2 linked regions of the Rhinolophus ferrumequinum genome follow. The protein of the gene in region 1 purifies or fractionates together with the protein of each later gene. This does not show direct contact. Links are inferred from orthologs where the notes say so. Each region holds a gene or a part of one and is shown on either strand. Other genes may lie near its edges.

What was found. Proteins that work in one complex are often made in the same cells at the same time.
Region 2: the proteins of ARPC3 (region 1) and ACTR3B purify together in Homo sapiens (affinity purification with mass spectrometry; 6 studies listed by BioGRID and IntAct, counting the BioPlex papers as one, with this or other methods). This does not show direct contact. The link is inferred for Rhinolophus ferrumequinum from reciprocal best matches to the Homo sapiens genes ARPC3 and ACTR3B.

What each region holds. Positions count from the first base shown.
Region 1 is NC_046308.1:6,137,080-6,145,170, forward strand, and holds the start of ARPC3 (actin-related protein 2/3 complex subunit 3), read right to left. Parts: upstream 3,219-8,091; 5' UTR 3,086-3,218; coding exon 3,080-3,085; intron 949-3,079; coding exon 849-948; intron 1-848. Other genes in the region: GPN3 (GPN-loop GTPase 3), read right to left, coding at 5,057-5,116, 5,696-5,824, 6,333-6,429, 6,578-6,693, 7,251-7,375. UniProt on the Homo sapiens protein: Component of the Arp2/3 complex, a multiprotein complex that mediates actin polymerization upon stimulation by nucleation-promoting factor (NPF).
Region 2 is NC_046309.1:2,856,111-2,864,032, forward strand, and holds the start of ACTR3B (actin-related protein 3B), read right to left. Parts: upstream 3,129-7,922; 5' UTR 3,025-3,128; coding exon 2,981-3,024; intron 1-2,980. UniProt on the Homo sapiens protein: Plays a role in the organization of the actin cytoskeleton.

The DNA of each region.
Region 1 (8,091 bases):
GACTGTGGTGACTCACCAAATTTATTAAGTTTACTGAGCTTGAGCTTTCAACTGGTGTTGAAAACAAAATTAAATTAAAAAGAGGTCAAGTCAAATAGTCTAGCAAAGGGATGGAGATGACATCAGTACAAAATTGGTAATTAAAACCGTGGTCTTGGAAACCATGAATGGAATTCAGTGCAGACCCTTTCTGTATGTAGGGAAACCATGTCTAATATAATACAAATTACACTGTTGGCAGAGTATCTAAGAATGTGTCAGAAGAGTCTCAAGGTCTGAAAAGAATGGGGCTTTCTGAACAGTAAAAAATGATTTAAAAAGGAGTACCAAGAAAGAAAGCAGAATTATGTAATTCAGAAAAGCAAGAGAAGAAATGAGTAATGTTACATAGGACGCTTCAGATTTAAGATCGAGGTGTTGCTAAATATGGAGATCCTGAAAAATCGATCAAGAAAGTAGATTTAGATGGGGAAGAGGTTAAAATATGTTTTGTGTTTTTCCAGCTTAATGACAGATAAGGGGTAGGGACATGGCATTCTTTACAAGTAGCAGCACTAGTTTGTAAGAACTGACAGTGACGACAGAAAACTGTGTAGAGAATTAAGCACATTTTCTTTCTCCTCAACAAAATGTCCTGGAGAAATCAGCAGCAATAACAGTTTCCTATTAGATACAACATATACCTATATCTTGAAAGGCCTAAAAAGCAATATCCACCAAGCAAACAGAAAATACAGGAGCAATGTGAAACAGAGGCCTGAGCTAAGAATTTCCCTGATTTGATGTCAGAGGGTTGTTCGATGTTTCATACCAAAATCTGAAAATAACAGAAAGGGGTTTCGACTTACTCTCTCTAGGGGCGGGTCCTTTGAACTGACTTCTGATAGGCAACAGTGCCATGTTTCCAATCAGCTTGGTGTCGGGGTCCATGAGAGAAGAGTGGTAAGCCTGTATTGGCACGCCAGGTAATACAGAAACAGAAAGAGAGCAAACGTCAGCAGGGCAGAGAAGTGTTTTTCTCCGAAAGGGAAAAAAAAAAGAGTAACCCACCCCAGATTAACTAGAGGAAGAGGGAGAAGAGATGGTGGCAGCTGTGTGCTGGAGCTGGCTCTTACTGGCTCATGAAAACCAACTGTTAAATTTCTAGGAATTTTTGAGCCAAGCTGGTTGTTGAACACAGCTGTTATTAAAAATAAACTTATATAAATTTGCAATAAATTACATTAAAAACAAAGATAATAAATACTCAAAATTCATTACTTCCTATTAAAAAATACTGTTGTCTGTGAGCTTGAAGTTATTCATGCCTTTTGTATCTTTAGGGCGGAAATACTATATAATGTGGTACTACTGTGCATTTCTTTCAATTCCACGTTCAGTGACATCACACTGGTAACTGATGGGAGTATTTACATCACAGAAATAGGCAAACACCATATAGATCAGAGGTACCCACCCCCCAGCTGTTGTTAAGCCAGAGCCCAAGCACTGGCTTTTCAGCGCTGCCATTTTCTGGCTTTCTGTCTTTGATCGAGATACCATTTTTCTTCTCTTAGCTGGTTTCCAAATTTGCAAAATGAAGAGATATACTGCTTTCAATGGGTAGGTGTGAATTAAAGGATGAGAGGGGGGAAAAATCATATTTGTGAGAGCAACTTGTATATGAGTCCTCGTTCTGCCTTTTATAAGATGTCTAACTTTTTAAAGAAGACATGGGCCCCATTCATATATTCATTCAGTCAGTCACCAAATGATTACTAAGCACCTTCTAAGTGTAAGGCACGGTGATATAATGGTATACAAGACCAGTACGGTCTCCATTTTTAAAGAACTTTTGGCTAACAGAGAAGACAGATATTAAATAAGTAACAAAGGGGAAGTCCAGGGTGCTCTATGTGCAAATGGAATGAGCAAAGGGCTTTAGCGTCCTGGTTTAAAATCGGACTTTATCAAAGTCTTTGCACTAGTGTGCAACCTTAGGGAAATTACTTAACTTCTCTGAGCCTCGGTTTCCTCCCTCCTCTGCAAAATGTGAAACCAATAATATATCTACCTCATAGGCTCACTGTAAGGATTAAATGGGATAATTTATATAACGTGTGTAGCTCAGGGCCTGCCTGGCACATATCGAGTCAAATGGTAGCTATATGCTTCATAAAGTATTTATGACGATGGCCTGCTTCTTTTTATCACACGTATGCTTCATCTAAAGCAGCCTGCACCCTGCCTTTCACCAGCTACTGTCTTGTTACCCATCTATTTCCTTCATAGCATTTGTCATTATTAGAAACGATCTCCTTTATTTTATTTACATGTGTCTGCTTCCCCATTAAAATGTAAACTGCTTAAAAGCAGGGATTTGTTGGCTTTATTCACTGTTGTAACAGTGCTCAGCATGCAGTCCGTGCTCAGTAATGTCTGAATAATCACATGTTGTTGAACCTCTGTTTACCTAATCTGCAAAATGGAGGCTGTAAGGGCGATAAACTACCTCGCAGACTGGCTGCCAGAAATGAAGAGAAACTACACCACCAATTTTTCTCCTACTCTGATGCACAAGAAAATAGAAACATTTGGAAACCGGGCGCATACCTCGAGTTGGCTCTGGTGGCCGCCACTGCCGGCGCAACAGGGAAGTGGGTCTGACAAATGACAAGCAGCGGAAGGGACCCACCCCCTGGGACGGAGGAAGTGGGTCTTCAGAAAAAAGGAGAAGCCAGACCCTGGACTTGAAAAATGAAAACTAAAAAGCGAAGCCCTCGCGGCTCTGTTGACGTTTTGGGGACACTGCCGGAGTTGGGGGCTTGCAGAAGGGGCAAAGACAGGGTTGGGATTGGAGAGAAGGGGGCCGGAAGGGCTGAAGCAACCCCCTCTGCACGCCCACTCTGCCGCGCCTCCGCCCCTCCTGGCCGACACTATCAGGCCGCCCCAATCCTACAAGAACTGGCCCCCTCCCCTCTCCCGTTCTGTCCCCCGCTCCCTCTGCCCAGCTTGGCCCACTTCTCTCAGCTCACGCACGATGTCCGCCGCTCTCCCCAGTTCTCGCCGTCTCCCCACACCCCTGACTCGGGCTCCTTACCGGCATCTTGGCGGCCCCCGAGTTTCAACCCAGATGAAGAGCAGGAACGGGTTAGAGCGCTGGGCTTCCGGCCTGGCAGCCCGGGCGGGGTAGGCGGAAGTGAGCCGGAAGGGGCGGTGAGGAAGGACGCGCGCTTCCGGCCTTGCTGTCTGGCCGCTGGCTGCTGCGGCTGCGCAGAGCCGAAAGGGCCGGGGGGGGGGGGGGGGGGGCCGAACACCGAGTGTTGCGCAGGCGTGAGACGTGGAGCGGGCAGTGTGTTTGGGGGCTACATATCTGTGCTCGCCTTTGTTTCTTCAAAGAGCCCCTTTTCAGTGAAGCATTCCCTGTCATACTATTTTAAATTCAACCCCACTGGACTCCCTGCCTCATCCTTCTTTCCCTTTTAAAAGAATCTTATGATTCTTTTATTTAGTTTACTTTCGGTGTTTATTTCCCGCGATCTCCCCATCCATGTAAACAAAAAGGCAGTGATTTCGTCCGTTTTGTTCACTGCTGTGTACCCCGTGTCTAAAACAGTGATGGTATACGGTAAGCATACTTGTTCAGTGAATGAATGAACCCAACTTTTTTGTTGTTGTCATTTCAAAAATTTCATTCTCTTCAACTGCTTTTGCGGTTTATAGCGATATTTCACGTATTAGTTCCCTGAAGCCTTTTTCATTCTGAGCTTCGTTTGCAGTGGATAACTGGTTTTTCAGGGGTATGACCAAACCACTGGTTTTAAAAATGGGGAGAGCACAGTGAGAGGGAATTGTGCATTATTCTGTACTGTAATTCTGTGTGATGGTTGAGAAACTGACTCTGAGTTAGATTCCCAACTCCAACATTTATTGGCTGTGTAATTTTGGGCAAGTTAATTTACCTGTGTGTCAGTTTCCTCATCTGAAAAATGGAGATAACAGTACTTACCTCAGTTTCGTGAAGGTGAAATGAATTGCATGCAAAGTGCTTAGAACTTACATGCCTGGAATATACTAAAGACTCAGGAATTTTTAAACTATTACTGGAAAGCAACTCATGATAAAAGCCAAGTTCACTGCTGCTTGGGGCCATTTCTTCTCCCAGTCCCTCATGGGGACTTTGCCCCATGTTCCCATAATGGATTTCTCATTTAGGCCTCTGGCCAAACAGCACCTTTTAGGAAGAGCCTTGACAATGAGCCCAAAGCAGCCTGTTAGTCACTCTCCATTTCATTAGTTTTCTTCCTATTCCTTATCAGAGGCTTCCTTGTTTATGGTTAGTCTCAAGGGCCCAACATGTCAACTCCATGAGAGTAAGGTTTTGTCTGCCTTGCATGCTTCCCAGTGCCTGGCACCCACTGGTAAATTTGTCGGAAGAACCATGTCAAGCTCCCCTACTTGGGGAAATTTACTCATTCAAAAATTTGCCCTGGCTGAGTATTTCAATTTCTGACTGGAGAACAAGACTGTAATGAAAGGTCAGTGCTATTTCTTTTATTTATATACATATTTATCTTAAAACATAGTTACTTTTCATTTTTTAATTATACAAATAATACATTTTCAATGTAGCAAAACTGGAAGATACGGATAAACAATGGCCTTATCTATATTCTTCCAACTTTTTTCCTCTAGACACACATATGTATATTTTGTTAAAACAATTCCAGTCCCTCCAAAAAAAGGTTCAAAAATAACAAAAATCAAACTGTTTACAGGTCTTAATTGTACCACAGGTGCTGATTTATATTATATGCAAATCTATGTGCAGTCATTTCAATTTCAACTTTTAAAATCTAAATTGTGCTGTAAAAATATTAGTACAAGACTCCACTTTAAACAGCAGTAGTTTCAAGAATAACTAAGAACCTGATTCAAGCATGCTGCTGATAAACAGCCAAGTATTATTTTTTTTCATTAAAATAAGTAGCTTTCTTGTATTGCATCCTTTGAGAAGAATGTTCTGATGTTTCAGCCACAAGCTCTTCACATACATAGTCACTTTTTAGTAAACTCTTTATTCATTCTGGTGTTCTTGAAAATATTCATCAAACCTAGAAGACTCATCTTCATGTTCCTGACACAAAGGAAACACAAAATAGAACATACATTCATTTCCCCTCAGACCTAGTATGTGTTTATATATTTTTCAGGTAATGCTCTGTAAGGAGCAAACACCCAGCACCACTCCAGATGTTACTCACAGGTAATAGTTAATAGTAACAAAGGCATGACTGATAGACTATTTCCAGATATGTGGTAGTAAGTGCTTCTCTCTCATTAGGAGCATTTTTCACAGAGTTTACTCACGCCGATTCTCAACTAAGTTGTGCCCTATTGACAATAACCATTAATAGTCTTTCCACTGACACATGTGACAGCAGTCCAAGTTCAATTGGATTTTACTTCCTCTTTGCATATACCCCAAGCTCTGAGTATAAAGAAACATAACTCAGTAACATTGCCTCAAAAAAAAGTAGAGTAAAAGTGATACTGCTCGTTGAGCTCAGGTGTCAGTTTCAGAGATCACCCAGAAAAGCCCAGGTTATTGCTGCCACTGAGACAAAAATTGAGTTCCTGGGGTTATATAGGATGCCAGGGAGTGCCGACAAACATTTCTACCAAAAGCCAATAAACACCCTAAACCAGAAATTACCTTTGGTTCTTTAAATTCCAAGTCTTCTCCATACTGAATGGCAAAATCAATATGCTGTAATACAATATTCATGCTTTCTTCATCTGACTGATCGTATGGCAAAAATCGAACCATGCTGTAGTCGTCAATCTACAAATTGGGGATTTCAGAAAGGGTCATTCAGAAATTGTGCAAAATACTTAATTTTCAACTTATATTTGCGTTTTATAACCATTTATACTCCTGATTAAACCATTTGTGTGTGAGGGGGTAGAGATAGACAGTGACAGAATGACAGCAAATCAATGTTTTTCTGACCTCGGACCTACTTAGAACACTCAACTTATTACTTAACTAGACACTATTTAATAAGCATTTATCTGAATTCAACAACCACTGGAAATTTCAAAAGGGCAGTTCTGAGCTCCCAATATGGCTTGGAATAATAGACATGTCAGTTAAGTTTTTGGCTACTGCCAATAACTGCTTCTAAATTAAACTGCTGACTGGCTAGCCCACAGCCTCTCACCACCACCTCCCCTTTGCAAGGAAATTGGGTTGGATCATGCTTTCCATAATGGTGGCCACTGACTAGAAACCAGTAAACACCTACTAACCAGGGCATTGAAAAACGACAACAACAACTTAAGAAGCTTACCAGTCCACATATAGCTTTAGTCAATTTTTTGAATTTTTTGCTTCTTAAGTCACTTGTAGAATCATCTAATAAAGAATACATGTCTGGATCTAGAAACCTTTAAAAGTGAAAAAGAGATGATGAATTAAAGGAAGAATAAATCAGGAAATTGGATTTATAGACTGACAGAACGTCACATGTAAACAAAGTTTAGAAGATTCATCTCTGCAATTGAGATCTGATGACAATGGAAGACATGAACTCACTTCTCAATTTCTTTTTTCGCTTTCTTACTCAGCAGATCCATTTTTGTCATGATGTTAACTTGTGGAATTTCTAGAGAGATCATAGCGCTCAGCGCTGCCAAGATGCCAGAAATAAACTGAAGGAGGAAACAGGAAAGGGAAGATGAATCAACTGGTGCCCACAAAGCTCCCGGGTCTCTGTATAAAAGAGAGGCTTCTGCTCCTCCCTGGAAGAAAAGTCAAAGACACGCTAATCCTAAACATAAGACGGTCCACTCATCAGATGGTTGACCCTTGGTTTTCAAAGGTGAGGATAAGGAAGGAAGATGTAGATTTAATCTACAGTGATCACAAATCTCATTTCAGACTGTATCTTTAACCTTTCCATTGAAAATTCCTTAAGAGCTACTAAATGAGAAATACAGTTTTAGATAGTTCACAAACGAGACAAAAGTTCCTCAGAAAATTAAAAATACTTTTATCTGCCTCATTTTTCTAATTCCCCCAAATCTATATAATATCATAATTTATCACATGAATTAAAAATACATTATTATAATAATTTAATAATAAGGGATACTGAATCATTCTGGAGTATAGTTTGTGAAATGTTCAGAATCACACAATGATTAAAGGAGACTATCATCTGCTTGTACCCAGAACTGAAAAATCAACAACAGATTTATCATCAAACCTTGAACGACTCCACCATAAACTGAGAGTCAACCAGAAAAACTCCACAGACTCGGAACTCCCACTGTTCTAGCTGCTTGACCAGCTGTTTCATCACGGGCAGGTGCGTGTACAACTCAATCTGACCTATATGAAGAACATTACGAGACTATTACTATCAGGAAATACGATAAATTATCAAATTACAGGAAAAAAGTTTTTCCCATAAGACGACGGTTTAAAAAAAAAAAAAGGGAAGGCAACACCTGGTAGTAATATATTCAATTTTTAAGGGGTCTTAAAGCCTCTCGAAGCAATCACAAAACCATGAGGTTCTTCACACTTTAATTTTTGCTGATCAAAAGCAAAAACTGCACAAAGGTGTGTGCAGTTTGGGAATATTCATCAAGCTGTACACTTATGATGTCTGCACTTCTCTGTGAGTGTGTGGAAGGGGGGAAAAGTGAGAGACACAAATGATCAAAGCGAGGTTAAGCTCAAGTCTAAAATTCACAATTTGGCATAAGAAGCCATGTGCGATTATCTGTCCCCGACCAGCCTCACTTCATGACATTTCTCTTTGCCTACTGTGCTCCAGCTACACAGGCCTTTTTGGTGCCTCAAACCCACCTCATTCTTTTCCTGCCTCGAGGCCTGCAGCTTGCTGTGCCCTCTGCCTGGACCACGGTGTCCCTCACCTTCACCCTCTGGCCCAGCTTACAGGCCACTGGATCAGAAGCCTCCCCTAACCTCCCTGCTATGTGATGGTCTGTACCACTCCTGTGGGGCGGGGCCCGTCCCAAGTGAATATCAAGTAGTCAGTTGGCTGAGTTCTGTTTATACTGTCTAGCACTCCCACTTGA
Region 2 (7,922 bases), on another chromosome or scaffold:
AGCACTATCTTAAGCACTCTGATCAGATGAAGGGGTTCTGGGGAGACAGCAGAGTGATTATAGAGAACAACACTGTACTTGAAAGTCACTAAGAGATTAGATCTTAAATGTTCTCACCACAAAAAAGAACCAGTAATTATGTGTCGTGATGGAAGTGTTAGCTTGACACTATGTGTAACCATTTTGCATATAAATGTATCAAATCAACACATTGTATACCTTAAACTTACACAATGTTCCATGTCAATTACATCTCAATAAAACTGAGGGGAGAACATGCCTTCTGACGGGATGCACTAAGGAGGATTGATGTCACTTCTGTGGCATTCCTGACAAAAATGCATAACCTATATCTATCACAAGGAAGCACCGATGAGCCTAAATTGAGGGACATTATCCATAACAACTGGCTGCCAAAAATGTCAATGTCTTGAAAGACAGAAAAAGGCTAAGGAACTGGTCCAGTTAAATGAGACTACAAAGACGTGATGACAAGCAAACACAGTCTGTGGTGCTAGATGAGGGAGCAGAGGTGAGAATCCGTAAGACATAAATGGGGCCATTTGTGTCAGTCCAGACTGCGTACAAGAGAACACTACCGCACGATGTCAAATCTGATTTCGATCTTTCGCCTGTGATTGTGTGAGAGCTCTTTGTTCTCAGAAAGTATACACTGAAGTATTTTGGTATAAAACCACACTTAAACAGTTCAGAAAAATAATAATACATATAGATATACAGAAAATGATAAAGCAAATGTTAATAGTTGGTGAAACTGGATGAACAAATAGTTTTTTGGTACACTTCTTGCAGCTTTTCAGTAGGTTAGAGCTGGTCTCAGGGTTTATTAGAGGATGCTAGGCTACCAGGATGGAATGTATTTTGCTCTAACAAATACTCTTTAGCACGCTGTCCAATAAATCATTAGTGTCTACCATGTATAGTTCAGTGTGAATTTTTATTCTAGAATTCAGTACTACACAAAGCTCTTTCACCAGAGTAACGGGCCTTTTTCTCCCTTCCTGATGACAGGAATTACACAACTGCTGATGGCTCTTACAATTTTGTCAGACAGGAAGACGAAGGCCAAATGTGAGGCTAAACTACAGCAGCCACCGGCCCACAGCTTCGGGGACTCCCCAGGCCCACTCTTCTCCTTGGCTGTGGTTGCTTTTATCTGCATGTCACCCCTTTTTATCCTATTTTGAGGTAAAAGTCAATCCAAAAACCATTTTAACTCTCCGGGAAATGTAAGAACTACTTATATGCTCTCAGTAAATTAAGGCTCTTCCAGGCTGCTCCTTCTGGCCATACACTGGACACTAGGACTTCATGAGTGACCAGTTGTTGCCATGACAGAGTATGTCCACGTGAGACCCACTGGGAAGATTCTGTGCCACTGTTTCTAAGTTGACACCAAAGCCTATGGCAGCTTGGAGACAAGAACATGACTTGGGGCCATAAAACAATGACATACTGAAGTTACACCTCGGACAGAGCAAAGTTACTCTTATCACGTACCTCTGAAGGTCAAAACTGGGCACCCCATTTTGGATATTTATAGCAAGAATGATGAGTTAGGCCCTCGGCTTACTAATATTAAAGGTGACAAACTCTGTGAGCATTATTGTGTTCCTATCGCCAAGACATGCCTTGTATTCCAACAGTTTGACAAGACCAGAAATACAAAAGCAAAAATCATTTTGGGAATGAAAAATACTTTTACCTGTTGCCTTCAGTCTTGACACAAGCAGACCTCAAGTGGGTGTGGGGTGAACACTAGCTTGTGGGAGGGGATGCGTAAGGGAGTTAACAATTGGGGGTGTTAATACCAGCGCTGATTTGGGCTTGTATGTTGGGTAGCAAAACGACTTCTGGTACAGTGCGTATTTCAAAAAGCTTAGTATAGAGGCAAAGAGGCAGTTTATTTTTGTGGGTGTTTTTTCCAGCCTGTAACCACTACCGGTGGCTTCAGCAGCAAAAGGAAAAAAGAATCAGTAGGAGATGGACTGCAGCAAACTAAAGAAGACACCCCCACAAGGTTGTCAAGGAAACCAAACCAACTGCGTTTCTCCATAGAAAAGAATCAAGGCTGAGAGCAACGTGCCATGGAACATTTTGTGACAGAAGTGATTACAACCCCGTCTTGAAAACTCTTTAAGAGGCTACATCACTTCTAGGCTATTTTAACCAGTACTTCATCTAGAAAGCAAGCAGGCAACCTTGCATTTCCAAACGACCGGCGAGACGGGCTCCGTAAGCACCTTCGCAAGACCAGCTAAGCGTGGACCACGGCAAGCACAGGGCATTTCCAACGGTCTCTTCTGCACATCTTAACGTCAAAAGAAGCAAATCACACCCAGACAGTAAAGGGACAATAAAACTACACCACAAATAGGCTTTCCCCAATGTAAACTTTCTGTGTTTCAAAATGGGGCCCTCCCCCCCCCCACCCTTTTTTTTAACCTTTTTAAGCGAAAAGGCAAATCTACACCGACTAAAGCGAGGGCGTCGCCTGGGTGAGCCATTCAGTCCCGGGAGAGAGCAGAGTGCGCTGCAAAAAAGGTGTCAAGTTGGTCACGATGGGAAAAGCTCCCCAAGTCGGTGGGCGAGAACCCTCAGCCGGCGGACACGGCACGCACGCGGGGGCCCGGCGAGGGCCCCGGGAGGTGGGCGGGAGGCACACGACGTGCAGCGCCTGCAGCGACCCGCCGGACGCCGGCCTCCCCGGGAGGCTGAGGCCAGGGGGCGCCCGCCCGGCGCGAGGGCGGTGCGGGAGGCGAGCGAGCCGGGGGACGTCTGCCTCGACTGTCCCCGGTCAAGGTGAGGGGCCGGGGCGCGCGGCGCTGCCGGCTCTAGAGGAGCGGGGCGGGGACGGGGAGCCGCGCGGGCGCAGCTCGGCCTCCAGGTGAGCGAGGGCGGGCGCGGGGCAGGTGCCTGGCGCCGGGGCGGGAGCGGGCTGGGCGCCAGCGGCTCTTACCCGGTGCCGCAGTCCACCACGCAGGGAGGCAGGCAGCCCGCCATGCTCGGCACGCGCGCCGCTAGGCCCACGCGACGGCCCCGGAGGCCCCGCCGCCGTCCGCTCGCCGCGCTTGCCCCGCGCAGCCGGCTCCCGGGAGCCTCCGCAGCGCCGCCGCGGGAGCCCGGATGCTCGGCGGCCGCCCACGTGACGCCACTCCATCCGGCCAATCACGGCGCGGGCACTCCAGGCCCCGCCCCCGCCCCGCCATCTTTAGTGCTGGCGGCGCGGCTTCCTTGCCCACACGCCCAACCTTGAAGAGATTGGGGACTATTTTTAACTGACTTACCGTGAACGTGACCGGGTTTCCGAGGCCTGGCTCCTCATCTGTAAGTCTCCCTGGTTCCTTCTCATCCTGTAAGTCTGGGCTCGAATGTCACCTCGGGGAAGTTGTCCCCTCGCACCTTACTCTGTATCTCAGGAATCTATTGCTTTCCTTCGCTATTTATTTGTCGTCTGTCCCCTCACTGGACTATAGGCTCCCCTAGGTTAGAGCTCGTGTTTGCTTACCATTGGTGACCCAGGACTGCACTGGTATGCAGGGGACTTGGTGCATACATGGTAAGCACCCAAATGTTTGTTGAATGAATGAATAAACGTCGCCATACAGAGAAAAGACACTCTGGTAGACTTACACCTAGCAGAACACTGCAGAAGTTATGTAACAGAAGGAAATATCCAAAACAAAGGCATGGCCAGCATGAAGGAATGAATGTCCTTAGATTGAATTAACACCACATCAAGGTCATTATATTCGGGGAAAATCTTTTCAAGTATCAAAGATGGAATCATCCCAAAGTTCTTACTGAGACCAGGGACCAGAGTGGTCAAGCACCTACCACGTCATAAAGGTACTAAAAGTCCCACTTGCTTCCTGCTGTGTGTCCTCTCGTAAATTCTTTTTTTCCATAAATTCTTGACGTTAACCTGTAGGAGCTTTCTGGAGATGTCATTTCATGTAACTGAACTATGTAGTATTAAAAGCATTGTGGTTTTTTTTTCCCTAGAAGAAGTAAAGGCCTTGTGTTAGATGGGGCATGAAATGGTGAGCAGGATACATACTCAACGTGTCAGAATCTAGTGAGAGAAAGCAACAGTCTACAGGCAGTTGCACTAGTGTGGTGATGCCTGGATGGCCAAGCCCAGGGTACCCAGAAAACCACTCACAGAGCCCCTAACCCTGACATGGCAGTCAGTGGAGCCTTCCCAAAGCCATGGGCTCTGAGCTGAACCGCAGTGAGTGGGTAGAGAAGAGCTCCCTGGTGGACAGTGTGGGGCAGTTGCGTGTCTCTGGGTGGGAAACATGTACAAAGGCCAGGAGGACCTCGAGACTCATAGGTGGCCCAGCCCACTTCACCAGGTAAGAAGCCTTTATAGGGACTTGGGACGGGCTAATTATAAAGAAAGTCCCTTTGGGGGAGTGTCCCCACTGCCTACGACGTATTGGAAGTGCTGGCCATGGTCAGAAGCTGGTAGGAAATAAAAGATTTCCTGACTTCCATTCCTTCCTCTGGACACCCCTAACTTTAGAGGTATCAGTTAAGATGTTTTCAAAGGCAGGTAACAGAAAACTTAAGGTAGCCCAAGGAATGAGCAAATGTTATTATGTCATAGGATCGGAAATCCAGAAATTCCAGGGTAACTCAACCACAGGTGTCATCAGTGTGGGCCTGTGCGTTTTGTTCTACCAGGTTTGCACATTGGCCGTTGTCCTCAGACTTACCCCCTTGGCGATGTGAGATGGCTGCAACAGCTGCTCCATACACCAACTGCAATGGGCAAAAATGGGGGAGAAATGCCCCGTCAGATTCCTTTCTAAGAGAGAGAGGAAGGAAACTTTCCCAGAAGGCCCTAGCTTATTCACCTGGCTCCATTCACCTGGCTCCAATAGGGGCTGCTGTAACAAAGCAAATGTAACAATTGTAACAATTACCTACAAACTGGGCGGCTTTAAACTATGGCACTTACTATCTCAGAGGTCTGGAGAGTAGAAGGCCAAAATCAAGGTGTGCGCAGGGCCCTGCCCTCTCTGCAGGCCCCAGGGGACAATGCCTCTCTCCCAGGTTCTGCAGGTTGTCCATAATCCTTGTCGTTCGTTGGCGGGTAGGTGCATCGCTCCGATCTCAGTTTCCAACGTCACAGGCTATTCTCCCAGCTCATATGTCTGCATTCATGTGGCGTTCTCCTCTTCTTATAAGGATACTAGTCCTACTGGATTGAGGGCTACCTTAATGACCTCATCTTAATTTAATACAGCTGCAAAGGCCTAGAAAGACCAGATCAGATCCCATTTATTATACCAGGTTTTAGGATTTTAACATGTCTTTCTCGGGGACAGTTCACCTCATAACACCAGCAGCCATTGGTAAAGGGAACCGAGGTACTGTGATCAGCTTAGACTATGAAGGGTGACCCCCTCGGGCTGGACGGGGGTCTTGTGTCCTCTGAAGCATATGGCTGCCAGTACCTGACTGGAGTCGGGTTTGATCAGCAGGAAGGGGAATGACAGCCAATAGTTTCTGCCTCACTCATAATTTTCCTACTTAAACCATTTTCTCCCACTCATTCTATGCCCTTTCACTCCTCTAGCCTCTGCTTGGAACTGTCGTTTAAACAAACCTTCCTCTTCCCCCTGCTGGAGTTTTGCCACCTCTGTGAAGGTGTCCCTCAGTTTCACAAAAGACTGTCACTCTCCTCTGCTCCGAGAGAGCCAGCGAATCCTTCCACGTTTGTACTTATTGGGTGGCATCATAATGGTCACACTTCCATCACCCCAGTACCCCAGGAGAAGCGTAGAACTGTCTACTAAGATGAGAACTGTCTAAGAGTACAACTGTTGGATACATTTTTTATCTTCATCGGGCACTGCCTGGCCTCTCTGTAGCCACTCAAGGAATAGCTATTGAACAAATGAAAGTCTTTAGGCAATCTTTAAACCTCTCAATTACACATCACACTTGCTATTACGTGCTTTTTTTATCTGGTATCTTGAATATTTTAAGCAAATACAAGTGGATATTATGTATCATTCCTGTGTTAGTGTTCTTACCGTTTTTTGTCTTTTTGTGCTGTTCTTCTGTATGGTACAACGTATTCTTCTGTGATATTCTTCTTAGGTCGTAAACTCCTATCGATCAGAGACTGGTGGCATCACTGACAAGTGCCTTAGAGCAGAACAGCCAGAGAGAAGCACGGTAAGTACAGTCGCCATTAATTACATTGCTAAGGGAGCTTGGCCCCCTCCCATATATTGCGCAAAATTCTCCCTCCTTGGAACAAGAGGCACATTTGAGTTGGCTTCCTTTAGCAAGGCATCTCTTTACTGTGCTTCTACCCAACAATGGCCGTCTACTCTCCCCTCCCAACAGGCAGAAACGTGGAAACCAGAACACTTCCTGTACAGGACCCAGCATCTCTTCTGGCCATCGAGGTGACTTTTTCTTAGCTACTATCCTTAGTGCTGCACAACCCAGCACCACTCTCAGCCGAACTTTCAGTAAACACCTTTTGATGCATTTTGATGCCTATGAGGACTACTTTATAAAATAATCAGGGCTTGGAGATCGTCCATGGAATGGGGTTTAGTCCGTGAGCGCTGGGACAATGTGATCCTAATGTCCTGCACTTAACTGGTTGCGCTGGGCCAAAAAGGAAAAAGAACACACAAAACGAAAGGCTGTCTTCAGAAACGGCCCACCCAGCCGCTCTGTGAATCTTGAATCACAGAGCTGGAGCCAAGCGCGATCTGGGTGTTCTCTGTTGCCATAGGATGCAAATAGAGAAAGGAGTCCCCAAAAATGAGTGCCGCATGCCTTTGAAAGTAGCTGGCATTCTCCTTTAAGAGGAAGGGCCTGTCACTGCACTCAATGGACCTCCCAGGGGTCTTGGCAGGAGTGGTAGAAAATGGTCCCAGCTGCAGCCGATTGGCCAGACCGTGGTGACTGTGTCAGAGGTGGTAACAGACCCGAAACCACAAGGTGGGTAAGTTGACCTGACCATCTTCAGATCAACAGTCCTCTGTTTCTGCCTCCCCCATGGCGGGCGATCACTGGCCTGGACGCCCCCTCCTCTCTGGCCTCGTGTCCTGTACCACTCAGCTGCCACGTCCTGTTCACCCCATCCCACCACTCCCCTTGTCTGTAGACCTGCTTTTTGTCTTCCTGCTGCTCTTAACTGAACTGCTGCATATCTGTCCATCAGCCACCCTGGCTCCAGGCTTTGGCCTGTCTGAGACTTCTCTGGGGCAAGCAGTGCTGCTCTGAGAGGTGTCTGCCAAAACAGAGAATGTGTGTACATCATGTCAGCCTCCTTCCCCCAAACCTTCAGGGACTTTCCCCAAACCTTCAGAGAGACTCTCTATTATTACAGAATTTGATCCCAACCCTGCTTATGACATTCGAGGTCCTCTGTGATCTGCTCCCGAGTCACCTTTCATATCTCATCTCACACGATGCCCCTTGCCACATCTGGGCACAGCAGAGCACGTGCCCAGCCCGCTGTGTTGGCAGGTCTTCGTGCAGGCCCCTCAGTCTAGAGAATTCTTCTTCACTGACCCCATCTCCTCCTTCAAGACTCTGTCCAAAGCTCACGCACCCTTCCACTTTTGATTCAAATCCACGTCATTTTTCCCTTCAACAAAATAGGCTGAGGGCTTCTTTATGCCTCTACTGAGGAATCAATCCCTAAGCCTATGTCTACGAGTCAGGACCCAGTGATGTGATCTGGAGATGTGCGTCTCATTAAGGTCTTCTGTCCCACCGTACAGTGCTGGGGTTTGATTTGTAACCACTTCCTGCCCAGTTCTCACGGAAAACTGAGTTCTGATAACGTCTTCGCTTACAAAGCATTCAGTACATCATCACGTTGACTCTTCATAACAATCCCATGAGGTAAATGTTATAAA